Caenorhabditis elegans: one gene and its partner. The protein of the gene in region 1 interacts with the protein of each later gene in a pairwise test. Each region holds a gene or a part of one and is shown in the gene's direction. Other genes may lie near its edges.

Evidence for each region.
Region 2: the proteins of gck-1 (region 1) and ccm-3 interact in a two-hybrid assay, tested with the Caenorhabditis elegans proteins (2 studies listed by BioGRID).

What each region holds. Positions count from the first base shown.
Region 1 is NC_003283.11:8,946,723-8,951,747, forward strand, and holds the start of gck-1 (Germinal center kinase 1), read left to right. Parts: upstream 1-1,981; 5' UTR 1,982-1,985; coding exon 1,986-2,513; intron 2,514-2,762; exon of another isoform or gene 2,763-2,935; coding exon of another isoform or gene 2,936-2,968; intron 2,969-3,261; exon of another isoform or gene 3,262-3,523; intron 3,524-4,015; exon of another isoform or gene 4,016-4,708; coding exon of another isoform or gene 4,709-4,726; intron 4,727-5,025. UniProt on the Caenorhabditis elegans protein: Serine/threonine-protein kinase which is required for normal oogenesis and suppression of germline cell apoptosis. Inhibits phosphorylation and thus probably activation of mpk-1 during pachytene stage.
Region 2 is NC_003280.10:10,604,903-10,609,140, reverse strand, and holds ccm-3 (Programmed cell death protein 10 homolog), read left to right. Parts: upstream 1-1,865; 5' UTR 1,866-1,875; coding exon 1,876-1,949; intron 1,950-2,005; coding exon 2,006-2,048; intron 2,049-2,130; coding exon 2,131-2,330; intron 2,331-2,385; coding exon 2,386-2,635; intron 2,636-2,935; coding exon 2,936-3,016; 3' UTR 3,017-3,424; downstream 3,425-4,238. Other genes in the region: taf-13 (Transcription initiation factor TFIID subunit 13), read left to right, coding at 3,539-3,670, 3,809-4,042. UniProt on the Caenorhabditis elegans protein: Involved in excretory canal elongation during postembryonic development. Plays a role in promoting Golgi stability, ER integrity and vesicle transport probably by regulating the activation of Rho GTPase cdc-42. Involved in fertility.

The sequences.
Region 1 (5,025 bases):
TAGTATCCAACTGTGAACATCATTTGAATAATTTCAAAAACAGAAAGGAATCCGGACACTATTGCGGATCAGGTGGATTCTTTGAATAATTAGACTGATCCCGATATTTTCGAATCAAATTGTTTTTGTGATTGATGTTTTGTAAACGTTTTTCGATTTTCTTGATCACTTTTTCTCTATAGAAGTAATACTATCAATTTTGGAATATGTAATCTGCAATTGTAGGCCAAAAACAACAGTTTTCTCTGATTATGAGAAATACGTTTTATTATGAATGCTACTTTTTTTGAGCTCTAAATACCAAAATGAGTTATTTAAAATGTTCAACTACCGCCGTATTTCTAATAGTCTAGCACGCTCAACTGCGTCGGCTCATATCTCGAATACATACATTTAAGTTCATCAAAAATTGATAATTGCCAAAAACATTTATATTTCTCATACTATAGTTTTTAAAATTCTTTCTTTGGTATCTCAAAAATCATCCGAGATAAAAGGTGTCAAAGTAAATTAATGTGTGCAAGACTATTAGAGGCATTCCGGGATGTATCCAGAGGGTTATCTGACTGTCTGATCTTCAGTTATAGTGGAAACATCTTGCAGTACTTTGTGACGTCACAAATGTTTTTCTACTGCTATGTCACAGTAAACTGTTTGTATTCTGTTGTAAGAAGTATTTCAGGGATTTCAGGAAATTGAATAGTGAAGTGTCTCTACCGTATTCCTCTATTTATTAGTATTCTACTTTGTCAGCTTTTATATAAGTTTAACATACAACATATTTTTCATTCGCTGTTCCTATCGTTTGTAGTTAATTATTTATTGATTCAAAATAAGCCTTTCAGAATGATGTAGCAGGATGCAAAATTAATAGAGGTGATACGGTAAGCGTTCAAAACGGTCAGACTCGGTTACTGTAGTTCTAAATGTGTTCACTATCCGCGCATCATGTACGTGATCACGCGTGAATGAGTTTCTTCGTTTTCTCTTGTTTTACCAACAAAAATTGTTTCGTATTCTTCCAACGTGGACTATTTCTATTATTTTTCAAATCATTTCACATTAAAATGTTTTAGTCATCACAATCAATGACAACGACATCATCAGACGAACTTCCTCGACAGGCGGACGACGATTCAATGAAATGGGATCGAATTTATATTCAGGTAAGGTTGGAGAATACCTCCTGCAATGTCCAAAGTAATTGTAAAACACTATTGACCGTTGAGATTATAAAAACTTTTGCGGGCCGGCCGACTGACACAACAAATATGAATAATCCGAAATTGTACTATTTTCCTCGTTCTGTCATTTTCTTCCTTACGTGTCTTTCACTCCGAAAAATGACCTCTTTGAGCACAAAAAGCTGAACTGACTTTGTATCGAATTTCACCCATTTCGCGACTTCTTTCAAGTGTGCACGGTCTGAGAATTCGGTCTAGGGTTTTCACTGCTTTTTCGATTTCTCGATTTTCTCAACTTCTTCAAACATGGCGGCAAAGTTGACCAGCATCTCTGTTGTTTTCTAAAAATAATTTTTTTTTTCAATTTATCTTATAAAATTTTGTAAAACGTATAATTCTAATGATTGCGTCCAAAAATACCTAATGTTTCACAAGACATTCGAAATCAGGTCGGATTTATTTAAAAAAATATATATTTTAAGAGTTAAAGATTTTTTACAAGAGTTAAAAAACGCTGGATCAATTAAATCTGTTCGGTTTTGCTCTGAACGATCACACTTGTGTTTGTCGAGCTGTCATTTCCCTTCTTATTTCCACAGACGAAACTCTCTTTACTCGTGTTATCGAAATGCATCACGCATCAGGAATTTTTATGGCATAATTCTGCCTCCTTATCGATTCGCTCGTTTCACCTATCGTTTTATTTTTTTGGCGCCTTCTGTCCTTTCTCTTCGATTTCCTTTTGATTTGCATTTTCGCTTCTGAAAAATCGGAGCTTGTACAATTTTCATTAATTCAGGTATGGACGATCATCGTTTCACTGACACAATTTTGAGAACAACTAATGTTCAATCTGCGATACAAAGATTTGAGAAACGAGCCCCTGTTTCTGCTCCACCATATCGAGAATCTGAGCCATTCAGAGAAGTTTTGAAAGATGAACCGGCACCACCATTTTTACAAAAACAGAATTCCTATGATTCACCGTTGTTTGTCAACACTAACATTGTGTATCCTGTGGAACAAAATTCATATTTTCCACAAATCACACCTCCACGCGAGCATGTGACATATGGAATTATGAATGATTCCAAAATGGATGATTCTATCGATAGTGCCACGTTGAATAGATTCGAGACTGGTTTCAAACCTTCGAATTTCGGAAAAACCATACAAGGAATTTACAACTCAACAGAGCATCCACAGCAAACACCAGAAGTTGTACTACCATCGAGTTTATCAGTTGATCTGAATGTCATGTCACCTGAAGTGTCACCTCCAAAACCAGCTGAACGGCGGAAGGTGGTTAAACCAATTGAAGATAACAGCGTGAGTCGGAATTGAAAGCAGTGCATTATTATTTTCGAAAAACAATGTGACTCTCATATCAAAGTGTTTTATATTTATGACCGTTTTCGAATAATTTTCCCATTTTTAACAAAAAATGTAGACCTTGGATGGTTGACCAGATACATAAATCATTTTATAAGCATAAAAGATAAACCTAGTTGTACAAATTCCTCTTTCTGATGTCTTTACTAGCTAAATTTCATTGGAAATTTGCGAAAACTGGAAGCAATTTCACTAAAAATAAATATTTACCACTGTCTCTGCAAGTTGTCGTAAGATGTGGTGTTTGCGTACACATTTGAACTCTGAGCTGATGATTTATTTTCTTTTCCGTATTAGCTCAGTTTTTATCATTCCTTCCCCTTTTATTGACAAAATACTCGACCTCGAGTGAATTTTCAATGGATTTCACAAATTTTGGGTCCGAAATTGAGGTAAGCTTATGAATTTTCAACCGAAAACCTTTAAAAAATCTGTTTGTTGAGGGTTACAGTAGATATTTGCTCGGCACAAAAGTGCAATTGTGTGTAGTGTGTGTTTTTTAGTACTCTTTCCGTCATAGTCAAATACTAGTTTTGATTCCGATTCGAATTCAGGCAATTAGAGAGTGAAATTGTGTCGAATAATTGAGTGTTCCATTTCTGAACTGATACGCCACCACATGCATTCAAATTCAATTTGTAATGCCAATCACATTGAAACAGAAATGTTTTACGGGATTCTTATTCATTTCTCAATGGTGTCCTCATTCTGGCGCTTCCTTCCTGAAGTACGTCTACGTTCTCTTCCGTACGTCGTTCCAATGAATTTGTATCCGGCGGACGCGTACTGCGTGATGGTGGGAGGGTAGCCAACCGAAGCAAAACGTCCTCTCTCGTTCGGTTGACGAGGACTGTACGGCCGTCTGCCATACACTAATCTGTCGCTTTTCTCCTCATTTTCGATGCATTTTATCCTTCTGGAGTGGGGGCTTCTAATCCAAAACTTCGCTCAGCATCTCCCATTCTCTTCGATTTGTGTCACTTTCCAAGAAATTTATGAATCTAATCCCATAACAGATGAAGATGGTTTAAATGTGCGAAGTAATCATTCTTCTTTCAAAATCGTTACTACGTTGGAATGCAGTCTGTTTGCTCAAAACGTTTAGTATCCTCCTCCTTTATTCTCCCAGTTTCTCGGCCGTTTTTTCAACTGCTCGGAACGTACGCGATTTGCAAAATCGGACGGTTTTTGATCAGGCAGCGGTAATTAGCACTCTAATACCGTTCACACGTTCTTTCTCCACGTTTGAATACACAATTGCAAAGACTTTGTATTACTTGTGAAATTATTTATTTCATGACGTTTGTCGTTTTATTGTCAACTGCAATCGCCACAAAATATTATCTAGACGTTTCATGACTCTTTATGCTCCGGTTCGATATTTTTTCTTGGAATGGACACGTTTTCCAGCCCCACCCTTATTTAATCTCATACATATGTCTGATTCCACATGAACAAATCGAGTATTGATGCTCCAAAATCGCTACACTTGGGTTTCCTAGCCTATCCCGCTTCTTTCCTTCCCGCACAGACCACCACAGTTTCGGAATGTTTGAACAACACGGTGTGCTGCTGTTGCCGGTGTGACAGCGGCCCCCCGATGGACGGGAAATATCGAGAGATGGTGAGAAGCAGAAATAGAGAAGAAATTGTACGGAAGAGTACAGTTTGGTGGTGAGAGAAGGCGCAAGAATCGGACGGAGGTCTAGTTATGTTTGTAGTCCCAAGGCGTGTATTATATTCAGAAATGTGCTTATACGTCTTGTGAGCATTGCTTAGCGCTTAAAGTGATTTTAAATCGTTCGTATAGCTGAAATTTAATCGAAAATTAAAAATTTTCTTAATATATATTGAATCTCCTCTCTGTGTTCATTTTAATCACCTGTAGAAACGCATAAAGAGTAGAAAGTGAAAAGAGGGCGGGCAAGTTAAGTGTTTGATTCATCATTAGGCGCAAATATAGTTAGGAGCATAAGAGGAGTGTCGTGTGTCTAATCAGCAACTAGTCATACTCTGCAATCTACATACCACGCTCATTTTCTATCGATTTCCGTGTCTCTAACACCGTTCTGTTTGAAAAAAACTGTTTTTATTTTGGAGAAAGAATTTTACTATACAATTCAGCTTTCACTATGACGTTTGCTAATTCTGTAAGTTTTTTTGCTTCATCTTTTAACTTGCTTCATAAGCATAATAATTTGAATTATAATTGAAAAATGTTATTGGCTGTGCAGCCCTTTCTCTTTTTCTCCGCAAAAAATTAGTTTTAATAATGGTCTCGATAATCTTTTTTCTTTATCGAAGAAAATATTAAATGATCACCACACTTTAAAAATGCATTTTATTTTACATCCTCGTATAGTTTTCAGTATGTCTGTCGATATTTTAATACTATTTGAGTCACATTTGGGTTTGTGTACATGGGACAGTCATAAATATGAATCACGTC
Region 2 (4,238 bases), on another chromosome or scaffold:
AATTTAGCAGGAAACAAAAATTTGTCGTGTCGAGACCGGGTACCGTGTTTTTGGCGTAAATGTCGTCAAATAAGAATGAGCGCGAGTTCAAAGTTAACATTTTTTGGAAACAGGCTAAACAATTATTCGAAAATTTGAAAAAATTGAATCATCAAACAACAAGTTTTATTTTGTTTTGAAAATGTTTGATCTATGATCGGCTATGCCTTTGACCATATATTAATACCAAATACAAAAAAAAAAGATGAAACTCGGTCAGAGAACAGAATTATCACAGGAAATGAGATTTCCTGATTGGGAGTCTATACCTTGAATGTACATGTTCGCAATTTTATTACCTATTTTTTGGAATGGGAACTGGTTTTTTCTCGAAACCTTTGACCAAAGGAAACATCTAGAAAAATGAAATCAGCACATTTTTTGAGAGCAATTTAGAAAAGAAAAGACAATAAAATGAAACAAATTTCAATGTTTTTTTCTCGACTCTATTGTTAATATACTCTGAAGCGTAACAAAGGTGTGAATAGTGGATCTCCTATTGATCGGCAGGAATGACACGGAAGATGAGACGGACAGCCGGGAGAAAAAAGATATTACGGAAGATTTTGAGACGCAGATTGATGGGAATTGGACTTGTGACTTCTTGTTTTCCGGAGATTCTTTACTATATCATAATTTTATTGACAGATATCCTTCACTGGTGGGCTGAAAATATAATAGAGTCCCCAGAAATACGGCACCGGGTCTCGTCGCGAAACACCATCATTAAATAGAAAAGTGAGTGTGCCTTTAGAGATTACTGTAATTTCTTTTTATTGATTTACGAAAAAATAATTTTCCACTAATTTTTCGATGAAGAACTTTTTATTTTTCGAAAAGTTTACAAAAAAAACTTTAATACATCCACTGAAACAAAAATTTGAAGTTACAGTACTCTTTAAAGGCACACACCTTTTTGTGTGCGAAAATTTGACGAGACCTGCTACCGTATTCTTTGGGAAAAATCATGAAATTTATCTGGCCAGATCTGGACAATTATAATTAAAAAAATATATTTTCAGGAAAATCTGATTGAATATTGGAAATCGTTGTTTATTCTCAGAGATTATTATTTGCAAAATCTGCATTTATATGTCTAAATAACACTAGCTAGTGCACTAGGCTAAAAATTGAAAGATTCATTATTTCAAAATTTGCAAAATTTTACCTCCACCGAGGTCTGAGTTGAGTAAAAACATTTTGTTCACATTTTCGCGATTGAATTGATTATTTAAAAAATTAAGCACTAATAAAATATATTTTTAACGTCGAATATTAAAATTTTTCCAAGAACTTTGTTCTCCAGAATTGTTCATCTCGAAATCTGCAGCATCTCTGGTGCCAGCAAGTGCGCTCCAATGCGAACATTTCATTTAAATTTTTTTTTTTTCGTTCTTTTTTTAACAGATTTTATCAATTTTTTGCGATTTTCATTATTTTTTCAAGTAAAAAACATATTTAATGTTATTTCTTATATTTCACAATATTAATTCAACTATTAAAAAACAATTGCATCGATTTCTGGGTGGGTTATCATGCGAAACCGATAAAAACCGTTATTATTATTATTATAATGACTCATAAGTTTCTCCAAGGAATTCGAATTCTGCTTTCACATTCCTTTCCGACCGTTCACTTTCTTCCTATATTTACTCTCCTCGTTTTCCTCTGTATTTCTCCAACTTTTCGCCTTATTATCTGCGTCTCTCTCCGCTTTTGATTTCTGTATGTATTTGCGATGCAAATCGATCGTATGCGGGTTTTTCCTTTTTTAACACAGCTTTCTCCTCTTAAAATTCACTCAAAAATCATGATTTTCATTTCAGCAGTTTCACAATGAACGAAGAGGGTGGATATCTTGGAGCGATGACATATCAATGCCTGTACAGTCCTGTGATGGAAAAAATTAAGTGGGTTTCAAGAAATATCAGTTTTTAAACATAATAATTTAAAAAATATATTTTAGACAGCAACATCGTGATGATCCAAGAGCTTCTCTCGCCCTAAACGTAAGCTATTCTATATAAGAATATTTTCTATGAATTTTATACTGTTAAACGAAAAAAAATAAATTAACAAAGAATTATTCAGAAACTGCACACTGCACTGACCACTTGTGAACAAGCTTCTCCGTCGTTTCTCTATGATTTCACAAAAGTTTTGCTGGATGACTCGGAATTGAGCGTTAATCTGCAGGAATCCTATCTGAGAATGCATGACACCTCGCCGACAAATGATTTGATTGTCAGTGGATATGAGCAGAATGCTGATTATAAAGAGCTCACGAAACGGTAATCAAATTAGATAATTTTTTTCAAAATTCCTGGCGTACGAAAAAAATTACAGAGCAATCGAGCTTCGTCGTGTTCTGTCCCGGGTTCCCGAAGAAATGTCGGATCGTCACGCCTTCCTGGAGACCATCAAGCTCATCGCATCATCAATCAAGAAACTTCTTGAGGCAATAAACGCCGTCTACAGAATTGTTCCACTCACTGCGCAGCCGGCCGTTGAGAAACGTAAACGGGAATTTGTGCACTACTCGAAAAGATTCAGTAACACTTTGAAGACGTATTTTAAAGATCAGAATGCAAATCAGGTTCGTGGGAAAAAATGTGCTTTTTTACTTAAATGCGTCGAAATTTGTCCTTGACTCCGAATATCTATGTGAAAAATTCAAAAGCCCCGGTTTTTCTGGGAAAAAATTCGCACTGAAATATAAAATCAGGGAGATTTTTTTTTAATTTTTTCACATCGATATTCGGCAAATTTGGACTTTTTTTTAAAATAAAAACCTGTAAATTTTCCCCAAATCTTGGGAAAATCAAACTAAATTCTTGAATAATATTAAAATCCATTTTTTTAAAACAAATTCTGAGCCTAAATTCAATGTTTGCAGGTATCCGTGTCCGCCAACCAACTGGTTTTCCAAACGACAATGATAGTCCGCACAATCAACGAAAAACTTCGCCGAGGATAAGCTCACCCATATGGCGGCTTATAACTGTGATCTACTAGACGGCTCTTTCCTTTTGCATGTGTTTTACTTTCATTTTTTGTTCACTTAATTTCTTGTTCTCATCCACACACTCATCACTTTATACATCGGATCTGCACACTTTCTTCTTTCTATGATTTTTCCTTTCCCAATTTTCTGTTTATTGACTGAAATTTTAGGAAAATGATTAACGTATTATGCTTTATATGGTTTTTCGGATTTTTTTCACTTCAAAAATATTGTAATAAGTAGCTCAATTATCATTCTTCCTTTCTTTTTCATGTGCCTTTCTTTGATTTTTCCTCGTTTTTTCACCCACTGATGTACTAGATTTTTTTCCATAAGTCGGTTTCTTCTCCAAATAACGTGATAAATTATTCAGAAATTTTTAATATTTTAATTGACTGTATTGCAATTCTTGTTGTCGAAAACTTATTATATATCTAATTAACTTCACTTTAAAAAATTTCAGACCAATTTTAAATTAATTTCAGAATTTAAAAAATGGATGACGAAGAGGATCTGTTCGGCTCGGATGCCGAAGATGACAAGGAGAAGGTGGTAAATCCGGAGGATAAGAAGCACGTGCTGAGACGAGATTTGAGATCAATGGTCTATGGCTTTGGAGATGATAAGGTTGGTAACAGGGCTGTGCAACTTTTTGAATCAAAATTTATTTGCATTTCTATAACAAATTAAAAAGAAATTAAATGAGCGGTTTTTCTAAGATTCCGATTGATAATTTCCTGAATTGTTTATAAATAAATGTTTCAGGAGCCATACGACAAGACCCTGGACACTCTTGAGGCCATTGTCCTAAACTACATCAAAGAGTTATGCCAACTGGCGATGAAAGTTGGAAAACCGGATAAAATGGCACTTGAGGACATTCACTATCTGATTCGTCGTGATCCGAAGAAGTTCTCGAGAGTCAAGGATCTGTTGTCAATGTCGGAAGAGTTGAAGAAGGCAAGAAAGCAGTTCGAAGATATGAAACCACAATTGTAAATTTGTATTGATCTCGGTTATTTGAATTTTATATTATTGAAACCCCCATCATGAATGTTTTTCTTTGAACGTATAGTATTTACAGAAATCCAAGTAAAACGACAGAAGACAACTTTTCAGGCAATTTTAAATGCGTACTTGTCAGGAAAAATAAAAACACAAATGCACCTGCGACAACGTAGACATCCTGCCATGC